2 linked regions of the Cricetulus griseus genome follow. The protein of the gene in region 2 interacts with the protein of the main gene of each other region in a pairwise test. Links are inferred from orthologs where the notes say so. Each region holds a gene or a part of one and is shown on either strand. Other genes may lie near its edges.

Region 1 (5,863 bases), on a different chromosome or scaffold from region 2:
ACACTCCTTCTCTTCAGCAGACAGGAAGTCGTAGCTGCTGTCACTCTGCAGGGAGAAGGAATTGTGAGGTGTGGGGCCCGAGACTCAGCCTGCTACAGGCAAAGAATACTACAAAGCTGGCAAACTTGCCCTGGTTCTGCTCTGCCAACCAGTGAAGCTGCTTTCTGCAACAGTAGGCCCAAGGAGGATTGGCAGGCTAAAGCCTGCCAGGACCCAGTTCTGAAGGCTAGGTAGGCAGGTGGCAAGGGGACTTCCTATTGCTTAGTCCTCAGCAGGAAGAAGTGGCCCAGACCGGAAGCAGCCCAGGTTTTCATTCCAGTTCCACGTGATCTTACACAATATCTCTACCAGTTTGTCTGCCATCTAATTGTGAATTGTATGGGCAACAACATGTATGGGCTAAAACTCAGCTGTATCTCCTTTAACGTTGCAAAGAACTTTTGCCACCTCTCAGCAGCCACCTGGCAGGCCAGTGCCACCAGCAGCTAGGTAAAAACCACAAGCAACTATGGGGATATGTGACACTTGGTCTGAGCTTCCACTCCTCTTCTGGTTACTGTCTAGACTCACCAAGATTGCTGGGGAAGGTTGCCAGATAGTCCTAGAAATAACTTGGAGAGTGGCAAAGAGGCTGTTAAATACCCCGGCCCCAGCCCCAGTCTTGCCTGCCCTTAAAGTCACCTGTCAGTTGACTGGGCCTGCATAACAAGGGAGAGTCCCCCACACAGCTCTTGGAGTTACTTGAATAAAGGTCTTCATCACTGCCTTCTGGATTTTTCCTTTATAGATTATCCGATGGAATGTGACTATTCATGCTGGTTTCTACCAGTCAGAAATAGGATGCCATCTTTGTGTTCCCAGCCTCTCATGTCAAAAGGAAAATTTGCATATACTTGAAGCACTTTGCCTTTTCTGCTCTACCTTTTTTATAATGAAACTTATTAACTAGCCATCCAGGTAGGTGGGCTCACTACTGAGTTCCAGCATGACTCTGTCTCCAAATCAACCGACCAACCAACCAACCAACCCACTAAATAGAGTAAATACTAACATTTGTTAGAAACGTTTTATAATCCTTTTTTTTTCTTTGATCCCCCCCCCTTTTGTTTTTTTTTTAAAACAGGGGTTTTCTGTGTAATCCCTGGCTGTCCTGGAAATCACTCTTTAGACCAGGCTGGACTCAAACTCAGAGATCCATCTACCTCTGCCTCATGAGTGCTGGGATTAAAGGTGTGCACTGCTGCTACCCAGCTTCTTCTTTCCTTTTCTTTGAGATGGTCTCATGTAGCCTATGCTAGTCCTAAATTTGCTGAGGATAGCCTGGAATTCTTGATTCACCTCTCTCCACCTCGTATTCACTGTGTTTTTTTGTGGTTTTTGGGGATCTAACCCAGGTCTTAGTGCTTGCAGGGCAAACACTTCCCCTGAGCTGTGTCTCCAGCCACAGTCTAAATTCTCACAAACTTTTTAGGACAATAAAGTTCAAACCCTTTGTTACAATGATAAACAGCAAAGGAATTCTTACATTTGAATGGAAGGCATATTTACTCCTTCACCCTAACCTTATAACACTTAGAATTTAAAATCATGTCCAGAAAAAAAAACAGCTTATTACATGCCCTCACAAACAGCTAAGCATTGTGATTGTGGATGGTTCTATCTCTGTCCATAGAGGGCCATTTATTTTCTGAATAGAGGTAAATGGTAAGTGCTTTATTTATCTTATTATGTTAAATGTTTATTTCTTTTGCATGTGTGTGTTTGTGGGCATGTGTGTTCTACTGAGTGTATAGAGGTCAGTAGGAAACATGCAAGAGTCAGTTTCTTCTTTGTGCCCTGTGAATTCTGACACTAGAAACTCTACCTCTATCTTCTGAGCCATTTCATAAACCTTTTTTGTTTAGACAAAGCTTTACAATATAGCACAAGCTGGTGGAGAACATGAACTCTCTATCTTAGCTTTCCAGGTGTTGAGACTTGGTGTGTGTCAATATACTCTGAAAGAATAGCTTTTATTTTCTCTTATTTTATGAGGCAGTGGGGATAGAACCCAGGGCTTGTCCACACTAGGTAATCAGTTTACTGCTGGGCAGCACCCTAGCCCTAGCTTTCTAAATGCTATTTAATGCTGCTTAGCTGTCCTCTAACCCCAGACACTCCCTTTGGGGAAGCTTATGAAAGATGACTGACAAACTTAGACTGCTTAGGGAGTTCAGAAAGCTCCAATATTCACATGGTTTCGTAGGCAGTAGACATTTGCAGACAGAGATGCAGGCAGAGATGGAGAGAGAGATATTGAGAGATTGAGAGAGGGGAAGGGAGACTATCTGTAAGTTAGTTGGTTACAGGGAGCTACGGGGATGTAGGTTTTAAGCTGTCACCCATGCTCAGTGTCACCAATGCTCCTGTAAGTAAGTCTCCATATTAGGAACAATCTCTGGTCTGCCTGTGTTCTGTCAAGCCTCCCCAGGAAAAGTCATGCAACAAGCACAACTTATTACTCCCTCCAAGAGCCATTATGATTAGGTGTTGACATTTTCCCCATTTTAAAACTGAGACTAGCTCAGCATGGTGGTGCACACCTTCAATTCCAGAACTTGGGAGTCAGAGGCAGGTGGTTCTCTGTTCAAGGCCAGCCTGGTTGAAATAGCGAATGCCAGCCTAGCCAGGGTAACACAGTGAGACCACAAGCCAGGGTCTCAACCACAAACAAACAAACAACCCCAAACCGAGGAGACTGAAGCATAGAGAAATCGGTGATATGCCCAAGGTAGTCTGGCTTCTGAGGAGGGAATCTGGATTCGTTCAGCTCCATAAGGCTCCCAACTACTCCATTTCCTTCGCTTTTTGTGGAAAATGGAAGCCGTGCTATCCTCATTGCAGAGGATTCTAAGAGTTCATGTTCGATAGAAATCTACCTTCCAGTTTCCACCACGACCTAAGCGCCTGCTCCTTTCCCCACCTAAGCCCTTTAATCTAATGAAAACGTGGGTGGTTGGGTATTGATCCTATTGCTCTCTGAGGTTGTCCCACCCAATTCTCTATAGAACCAGAGCTGACTCAGAAGCAGCAAGAATCCAGTGATTCAGTCCCTGGTGAAGAAGATGAAAGAGAAGGTGCAGAGAATGACGGTGGGCGGCACAGCAGGGCAGGGCGAGGTGGGGTGGGGCAGGTATGCAGAGCAGGCCAGGCTGCAAGAGGGAGAGAGTACATACAGATCCAGAGTGGGTGGAGGTGGTGCTCATCATGCTGTCACAGCTGCCGATGTGGGTCACAAGTTCTGAGCAAGGCCCTGCTGGCCAAAGCTCCCTCTTGGGCATCGCCTGAAGCAAGGCGCAGGGGTGGTGAAAGGGGCTCCCAGAGGGGAAGTGAATGGAAGTGAAGAATGTCCCAAGCTGGGCCTGAAAAGAGAACAATCAAAGCCACGTGTGAGCAGAGGCTTCTACAAAGCACTGCTCAGGCCCTGGGGTTTCATGGCAGCAAGATACCAAGCAAGCACAGAGTTGGAAGGGAGCCATGGACCGGTCATGTCTGAACTCCACCCTCAGTCTGCATGGAGGGACACATAAGCTAGCTCAAATGCATTCAGGAAGATGGATTCAGGGAGCAGAGATGCAGGCTAGTCAGAAAAGAGGTTCTGGTCTTCCTCTTAGCTGCTTTTTATTTTTTCTTTTATGAAGCAAGGAGTTTGAATTGTAATTTCATTATAAAAACCAATACCTATTACAAGGTTGAGGGCTTGGGTTCTGGGCTCAAAACCCAGTTGAACCACTTAGTGATTTGCATTTAGATGAATTACTTGTTAAATATGATTAATGCAAGGATTAAATGAGAGGCTAGTTAGGACACACAGCTCTGTTGGTAGCAGATACTATTGTTCTTATAAAAATCCACCTCAGATCAAATTAAACCCAAGCACTGGGAACAAGAGTTTTGGAGAGAAGGGTTCTGTCTAAATGGGGTATTACAGGCTTGAGAGAAGGAACAGGGCCCTTAATAATGTACTTCTTAGTCATTATGAGAATAGAAAAATGGAATAGCCTATGTAGTACAGTATATGCCCAATAATGTCAGTTGCAATCACTGTTAATAATATCATAAATATGACACTGCCACCAAGAAGGCTGACTTGTCATCTTTCTGCCCTCGGCCATATGAACAGGGCACCTGCAATGGTTGAGAGCAGTCCCATTTCCCTCACGTTAACACTTGCATTCTGCCATTTATGCATTCGCAGTGAAGTTCCCTGGACTACGTCAAATGAAGGAGAAAAAATGTCCAGTGTAGATCCTCTCTAAACCCAGCTTCTATGGGGAGAAATAGTCCAAGTTCATTGTGGCAACAGCAATAGCAAAAACCAAACACAAACAAAAAGCCACCTCGTCGCTGCCACTAAACTTCCTAAGGGTTTCTTTCTTTCACATCTGTTTGTGGGAAATAGCCCACCAGACCAGGGCAGGGCAAGAGTAACTCTTTTTATGGAAAATGAAAATCTGAAAGATTTTTAAACAGAAAGTTAAGGGAGAGCTAGAATTACAATAAATTTTATATGACTCAGATTCATATTTTGCTTGTAACACTATACTATGTTTTAATCATTTCTGCTACTCTCCTAATAGAAGGTAAATTGTCCTGGGACAGAATGTTTTATTGGAGATCTGGGGACTTGGGGCTTAGGTGCCAGGGTACATATTCCTCTGCCAATAGTTGCTGCAGTGCCAATGTCAGCTTTGGGTTCAGTTAGGTCTTCCAACCTGGTCATGCTGGCAAGAGTCAGGCAAGGCCTCACAAGGCTACTCCTTTGCTTAGGAGAGACCCATAAATGGGGCAAGATGCTTGGGAGAGAAAAAGACAGGATCCCGAGTCAGACACATAGGATTCACAGCCTCTTAGGAGATGAGTGGGGCCCAAAAGAGAAGGGACAACAAAGAAGCCCCATGCTAATCAATGGTGGGTGGGGTAGCTCTGGGATTTCTCCACCAGGTCAGTTCCTCAACATCCCAAACTCAAAGAAACAGACACTCAAGAACCCTTGTAGACTGAGTTTAGCCATCCTAGCTTTGCATTTCTTTAGTGATTATCCAGGTACAGAGTCAATTCCTAACATTCTGCAGAAGCACTCAAAACTGCTATGTGCAGAAACATGTCTGCACATAGTGCTAAGTGTAGGCAACAGTTGGGTGCTCAGTCCTAAACAAGGCATTCATACTGTCCCCACCAAGGCTCTGGGAATATTGTGGAAGAGTGGGTAGAAAGACTGAAAGAGTCAGAAATGCAGCACACAGGCGTGTGAGTGTGTGAGTGTGTGTGTGTGTGTGTGTGTGTGTGTGTGTGTGTGTGTGTGTGATGTCACCATCTAGGCATAGCATATCCATGTAATCATGACCTCTCAACAACTTCTGAAGACTGCCCTGGGTCTGCACAAGAATGGGCCCACCAACAACCAAGCAAGGATGGAGGAGGGACTCAGGGCGCCCTACCCCTCACTGCTGAACTATTTCCTAGGGATAGATTCAGGGAAAGGAGAGAGTGAATTCCATGTATACCCTGGTGATCCCACCACTGGTCACAAAGATGGCCCTAGATAAACTAAATGGGCCACACAGCAAAGTTCCAAGTCATGAATCTGGGAGAGAGGGAAAGGGACAGGTATGGAGGAAGAAAGGGTGATGGGGCAGGAGGACAGGGAGGAAGGATGTGGGAGACAGCCACCGGAATAAATTATACACATGTATGAAACTGTCAAAGAGCTAACTCAATTAAAAAAAGCAATGCTGTCTGAATAAGTCTATTGGGTGAGTTACGTGGATGGAGGCTCTTCTTGGCCCACCACTGTAAGCTTTTCCATAGTATTTTATTTCTC
Region 2 (6,041 bases):
TACATGTACAATTGTTGTTTATTTGTAAGGTGTCTGATACACCTATTTTTACACAGCCACACTTGAGCTGACCTCACCCTAATTAAAAACAGTGCATGCAACTTTGACAGACTCTGCCAACTGCTGGTTTCAGCTGTTCCTTTCCTTTTCCATAGTTCATAAACTAGTATTACAGGAATCATTTTTCCTGCCTAATCATTTATTTTAGTTTAAGAAAATAATTCATTTACCTCTTAACTACACCTACAATTAAAGCTAATGTAAATCCATCTGTAGTATATAAACTTCTTTATCCATGTGAAATCTTGGATATTCGTCCAAGTACGGTAATTTGGGACTGCCTGGGAAAACTTTAAAGGTCATATACTATTAACATGTTTCAAAGAGGCCCAGATGGCTATGCTTACACTTACAAAGGGCAGAAACTTCTGCAAATGCCTTTGCTGTATGACATTCTCTTCTATTTCCACCAACTCTTCATCTTTCAACAACATAGAAAAACCAAGTCACCCCAACAAGAAAGAGTCACATAAATAACAGTAAGTGCTCTTAATTACTGAGCCATCTCTCCAGCTCTTTTTTCCAGATCTCTCAATACTCAGCTACCATCGCATTGGCCATGAAGTTTTGGCACCTGAATTTTAAAGGGGTAAATTCAAATCATAGTACTCACCAGTCTCCACTCTATTACAGCCTTATTTTATATGTCATTTTAAAACTTTTATTTATTTTTCAATTTTTAATTTCTGTGCATTATCAGTGTTTTGCCTGCATATATGTATGTGCACCACTTGCAATCCTGGCGCCTGTGGTGGTCAGAAAAGGGTATCAGATCCCTGGGAACTGGAGTTACAGAGGGTTGTGAACCACCATGTGGGTGCTGGGAATTGAAACTAGGTCCTCTGAAAGAGCAACAACTGCTCTTCACCCCTGAGCCATCGCTCCAGCCTCTTAAAATATTTTTAGCAAAAAGGCTAGTGAGTTGTTTATAAACAAATTATGCTAAGTGTCTAAATGTGTTTCATGTAAGTAGCTTAGATTCACATTTCAAAGGATAGTCTCCTTTAGTATTAAGTTAATCTCACTCTTCACTTGGTAAAACAGTGGACATTCATGTAATATAAGAGACACAGAAAACTGGTTCTCTTCTATGTTACCACTCCAGTCTGGAGAATGCAATCTTCTCAATAAAAAACTGCCACTTGATTTTGTGTGTAGGTTCGAGTACACGTGACACTCCAACAAGCCTTAAACAATGCATTTTAAACTGTGGAGCTGCATAAAATTACGGGAAGCCATATTTCAAAGGTTTACAATATTAATATTTTTTAGTATTTTCTCATTTAAAAATTGATGCAACTGATTCAAAATATTTTCAAACACCATTATTTCCTAGTGTTTAGAAGAAAAAAGCCAGCTACTGACTATTAAATGAGGGAAGGAGGGAAAAAAAATTCATTTTTACAGGCTGGAAAACTTCTAAATTCCTTATTTTACAGGTAAGAATACAGTTCATAAAGGTTAAATGATTTGCAGGTCACCAAGCTACTAGCAGCACCAGAAATAGAAGGTATTTTAATTACATTTATATCCTGGTCATTTAAGTATTAAACATAATTATCAACTCGTAATTAATTTCTGAGGAAGGACTCCTGTGACACGTGCTCTACATTTTCAAAGTTGTATATGCTAATAAACTTCAAATTTTAACTGCCAGAACAAAAAGAAACTACTCTCGAACTTTAAAGAAAACTGTGTGCTGCTAATAAACCATCACAAAGAATTTCAAAATCCATTATTTCAAACTTTGTCCCTCAACTATATATTTACCGCTGTTAATTCGACCACAGGAAGAATGCAGAGACAGCATCGACCATCCACTGAAGAAATGAACAGATCGCCACTCCCATAACACGGGTTTCCAGCTTAAATAAAGAAGAGCTCCTAACATTAGAATTAAAAGTTTGGGAAATGCACTCTTGGCTGGCTTATGTCGAAGATGTAAATCTGACACTGCTGACACAGCTAAAAGTCTAAGCTTAAAAGAGAAAATCAGAAAAAGTGAACACGTTCCTTCAACCAAAAGCTTTCTCGCTTTAGCAACCACACTGTGGAGACCGCAACAGTGAGAAACTGAGATTCTCGTTTTAATGCCCAATAAACCCAATGCTGTGCAGTTAGCTTCGGATGTTCAAGGATAAAACACAGGGCACAGTGAGGGCGACAACTTACAAGGGATCAGTTTCAAGGACTGTAGTCTAACTAGTCATTACAATCGTCCCTTTGTGCAACTGATTGTTTCTACAAAGTACTGGAAGAATGCAGCCCTTCTCTTTGAACGTTACCGGTCAACCAAACCTAAGATGGCAAGATTTTGGTAACCTATACAGCGGCTTCATCAATTAAGAGGTACAGGGTAGACTTAATGCATTGTCTTCATACATGTCATTAATAAGACTATAACTGAGTTACAAACAACATTACACGTTCTAATTAGGACCTCTGGCGTCGCTCTACAATAATACAAATATAATCTCTATTTTAAAGTAGTACTCGTTTAGCAAGGGGTAGAATTATAAACAGTCACCACCACCGCAAGACTGCACACACACACAAACAGATTTAAAGCTGTGGTAAGCACAAAATCCTTACCCCATTTTGCCCAATGAAAACTTGCTCTGAAGTTTCTGCTCTTATGCTACAGAAATAACTTCCAAGGAATTTTCTCCGTCTGTTATTTTGCAGCTGCTTTTCCACCCCCGAGATCTTTTCCGGAGGTAATTCAACGATGCTGACAATTCAGTTAGTTCTTGTCGGTAAAAGGAATTCACTCGCGCTGATACCAAAGCGTTCAAACATTTGCTTATTTGGAATTTGAAAAGGTTGCGCGGAGAATATAGCACTCAACTATTCCATAAAATCAGTGTACATGTAGGTAAACGCAAAACCCAGCTTCACCGAGTCTTATAAAAAACGAGTTCGCTGGTCATTTCGCTCACGTCCTCTCGACACTCCAGGGAGCCAGGTAACTCGGCCTTCTCTGGGCTAAGGCGGTGGGTTCAAATTTCACCACACCAGGTCCCTAGGGGTGGAGCGTGCAACCCAACGCGACGTGCACTTTAATAAAAATCCTACAGGCAGCAATGCCACTGTCTGCCTTCGCTTACACTTAAAAAAAAAATTATAAAGAAAAAAATCTCAAGTGCAAACCGCGGCCGCTCGCGATGTGCACAGCACACCACATCGGAATCTGTCCTTTGAATGTTCGTCCTCCTAAGACTCGGAGCGGAGAGGCGGTGGAGAGCAAGCAGAAAAGGCTGGGAAGGATCGATTCGTTCTCTCGAGGAGCATCAGCGGAGCCATTTCCAGGCTGGCGGCTAGCTGGGGGCGCAGCGGCCGCCGGGGAGCAGCGCAGGGGGCCCAAGCCCACCTCCCTCAGCTTCCCGGCCCCCGCCGAGCACAATGGAGCCCCGCTCACAGCCGCCCCCTCTTCCCGCCTCTCCTCGCAGCACCGGCGGCCTCGGGCTCCAGGCAGCGGAGAATGAATGAATCAGAGAGAACCCAGCCCCGCGCGGTCCCCGGCACCCAGCCCCCAGCTCCTAGCGGCCGCGCGCTGAGGCGAGTGGCACGCGGCTCGTCCGAGGCACAGCAGCCGCGGCTCGTACCCCCACCCCGGCTCGTCTCTCCCGCTCCGTGCCGCCTCACATGCCCCGGGCCGCCGCTGCCTCCTCACACTCCCCTCAGCGGCAGCCTCCGCCGGCCCCGGGCGGCCTGGCACCCGTCGCTGCCTCCTCTGCCACCACAGAGCGGCTCCGAAACGAGCGCAGCTGACGGCGCCGCTGCCCGGTCCGCGCCGCCGGCGTGAGGCGAGCGCACGAGCGGAGAGGGGAGGGGGGCGGGCGGGGCGGGGCGAAGAGCGCGGCCCTCCCGGCTCGAGGGGCGGAGCGCCGCCGCCGCCGCAGGCCGGCGGAGGAGGTGGGGCGCGGCGGAGGCGGGGCCCAGGCTCGGAGCTGGGAGGTGAGGGACCAGCCCGGAGGGGATTAGCCGGCTGGTCCTTCGGTCCGTCCCTTTTTCCTTCCCCAACCCTAGCGGTCGGCGGCGGCGGATGGGCGAAGCGCTCGACTCCAGCGCTGACTCCGGGCAGCCACAGCCTCCTCCGCTCCGCACTCCGGGTTCTCGCGCTGTGTCTCCATCCTCCCCGCAGGAGGACCTTTAAATAGCAACGTCAGCGCGCTCCTCTCCGCACACACGTCACCCTCCGCTCACGTCACCCTGTGCGGGGGATGATGTCACGCGGCCGGAAGTACTGCTAAATTAGGGAAAGAGCAGGGGGGAGGAGGGCTGGGCCAGCTGCTGTGTGCCCACCTGCTCTCGCTTCTTAAAGGCCAAAGCGCCTGAGACAGTCGGAGGAGAGCTTGGAGAAGGAAGCGGCAGGAGGAGGTTTCCTTGACACAAATGTGCCAAACGCGAGTGAATCACTCTTAGCAACAGTGCCGAAGTGTCGCCGGTAATGTCCTGTCTCCCTCTCCCACTGGGTTTGCAGCAGCATCCCTGGGCTGCTAACATTCCAACCTGCAGAGAAACGTGGGAGGGAGAGTGATCACTACTGGTAGACTTGGGGGAAATCACCGTTAATTTTAGGAGTCCTGAATACCATTCTGAACATAGATAACTTTTAAACTCCCCCTCCCTCCATGGCATGGACTTTTTTTTTTTTTTAAGTGGAGTTAAGAACAAACCTCTTACAAACGTTAAATTAAATTAAGGCAGAGGGGGATTCTAAATGTTGCGGTTCACAACATAAGCATGGTTCGGCATGGCATAATGAGTCAAATTCATTAAAGTAAAACTTAGATCCCTCAGATAATTATCGTTCTGCAGCATCGCAAATGCTAATGAATCCCTTCAGTTCTGACCTACCAAGAATATCAATTACAGTCTGGATGCAAAGGTCTGTCACCCAATCCTTTTAATTCACAAACATACATTAACATGTTTTTGAGTCTTGTAACCACAATAACTCTCAAGTACATTTACATTTTCTATATGGCAAGGATGATTAACCATCCATAATTTTATAGCTATATACGTGAAAATCGTGTTTTTAAAATCATACAGTTTTAAAGTGGTCTCATTATCCTAAGATAGCCATTTATTAGGTCGATTCACAGGCTGGACTTAACTTTTATTTGATTTAACTTGACAATCATGGCCCAGAAATAGAATTGCTGCATACTGCTAAGGGCCATTATTTCAGTTACTTTATAAATTCAGTGACCATATTTTACAAACTGAAGTCATTTGACATTAAACAGATTATTCAAAATCTGAAGTGGCCTGGAAAATCCAGGACATAATAGTATTACCAAATCATGAAGTTGTCCTTAGAAAAATAATAAATCAATACCAATGCAGTTCAAAATAAAATGAGCTAAAACTCTATAGACTCAGCCAGGACTAGTTTTGCTTGTTTGTTTGTTTGTTTGTTTTTGTTTTGATTAAGACAGGGTCTCAGTAATTTAGCCCAAGATGACTTAAGATTCGGAGTCTCCCTTGAGCAATGCAATTGCAGGAGTGTCACATGCTTGCCTGCTACATGTGGATTTTGAGACATGTTTTTAATGTTAACACTTAATTCTGAATTAAGGAACAATGATTTTACATTTTTTTTTTGCATTGACATTTTCTTGCTTTAGCTTGGAACCCAAGATTAAAGGAAATCAGCAAAAACTGATAGGACAAATTTGCAACTGATCACTGCCTGGTCATTTATCTTCACATTATAAAACTGTGATCTTGCTTTACTTTGAAATTTTAAGAACTCTGGGAGCTTTTTTTCTTTTTTTCTCACAGGTATGTATTTGTTATGTGTGTGTGTGTGTGTGTGTGTGTGTGCATGTGCATGTATTTGTGTATGCTAGCACATGTGTGCATGACAAGAGTAGAGGCCAGAGGTTTACTGTCAGGAATCTTCCTTGATTGATGTCTCTCTCTCTCTCTCTCTCTCTCTCTCTCTCTCTCTCTCTCTCTCTCTCTCTCCT

The links. The genes of interacting proteins can lie anywhere in the genome.
Region 1: the proteins of Homer1 (region 2) and CUNH1orf116 interact in binary tests that used the Homo sapiens proteins (3 or more experiments, as listed by UniProt). The link is inferred for Cricetulus griseus from reciprocal best matches to the Homo sapiens genes HOMER1 and C1orf116.

The regions. Positions count from the first base shown.
Region 1 is NC_048598.1:58,300,702-58,306,564, forward strand, and holds the start of CUNH1orf116 (specifically androgen-regulated gene protein), read right to left. Parts: upstream 3,762-5,863; 5' UTR 3,321-3,761; coding exon 3,216-3,320; intron 46-3,215; coding exon 1-45. UniProt on the Homo sapiens protein: Putative androgen-specific receptor.
Region 2 is NC_048595.1:312,037,444-312,043,484, reverse strand, and holds the start of Homer1 (homer protein homolog 1), read right to left. Parts: upstream 3,888-6,041; 5' UTR 2,658-3,887; coding exon 2,653-2,657; intron 1-2,652. UniProt on the Homo sapiens protein: Postsynaptic density scaffolding protein. Binds and cross-links cytoplasmic regions of GRM1, GRM5, ITPR1, DNM3, RYR1, RYR2, SHANK1 and SHANK3.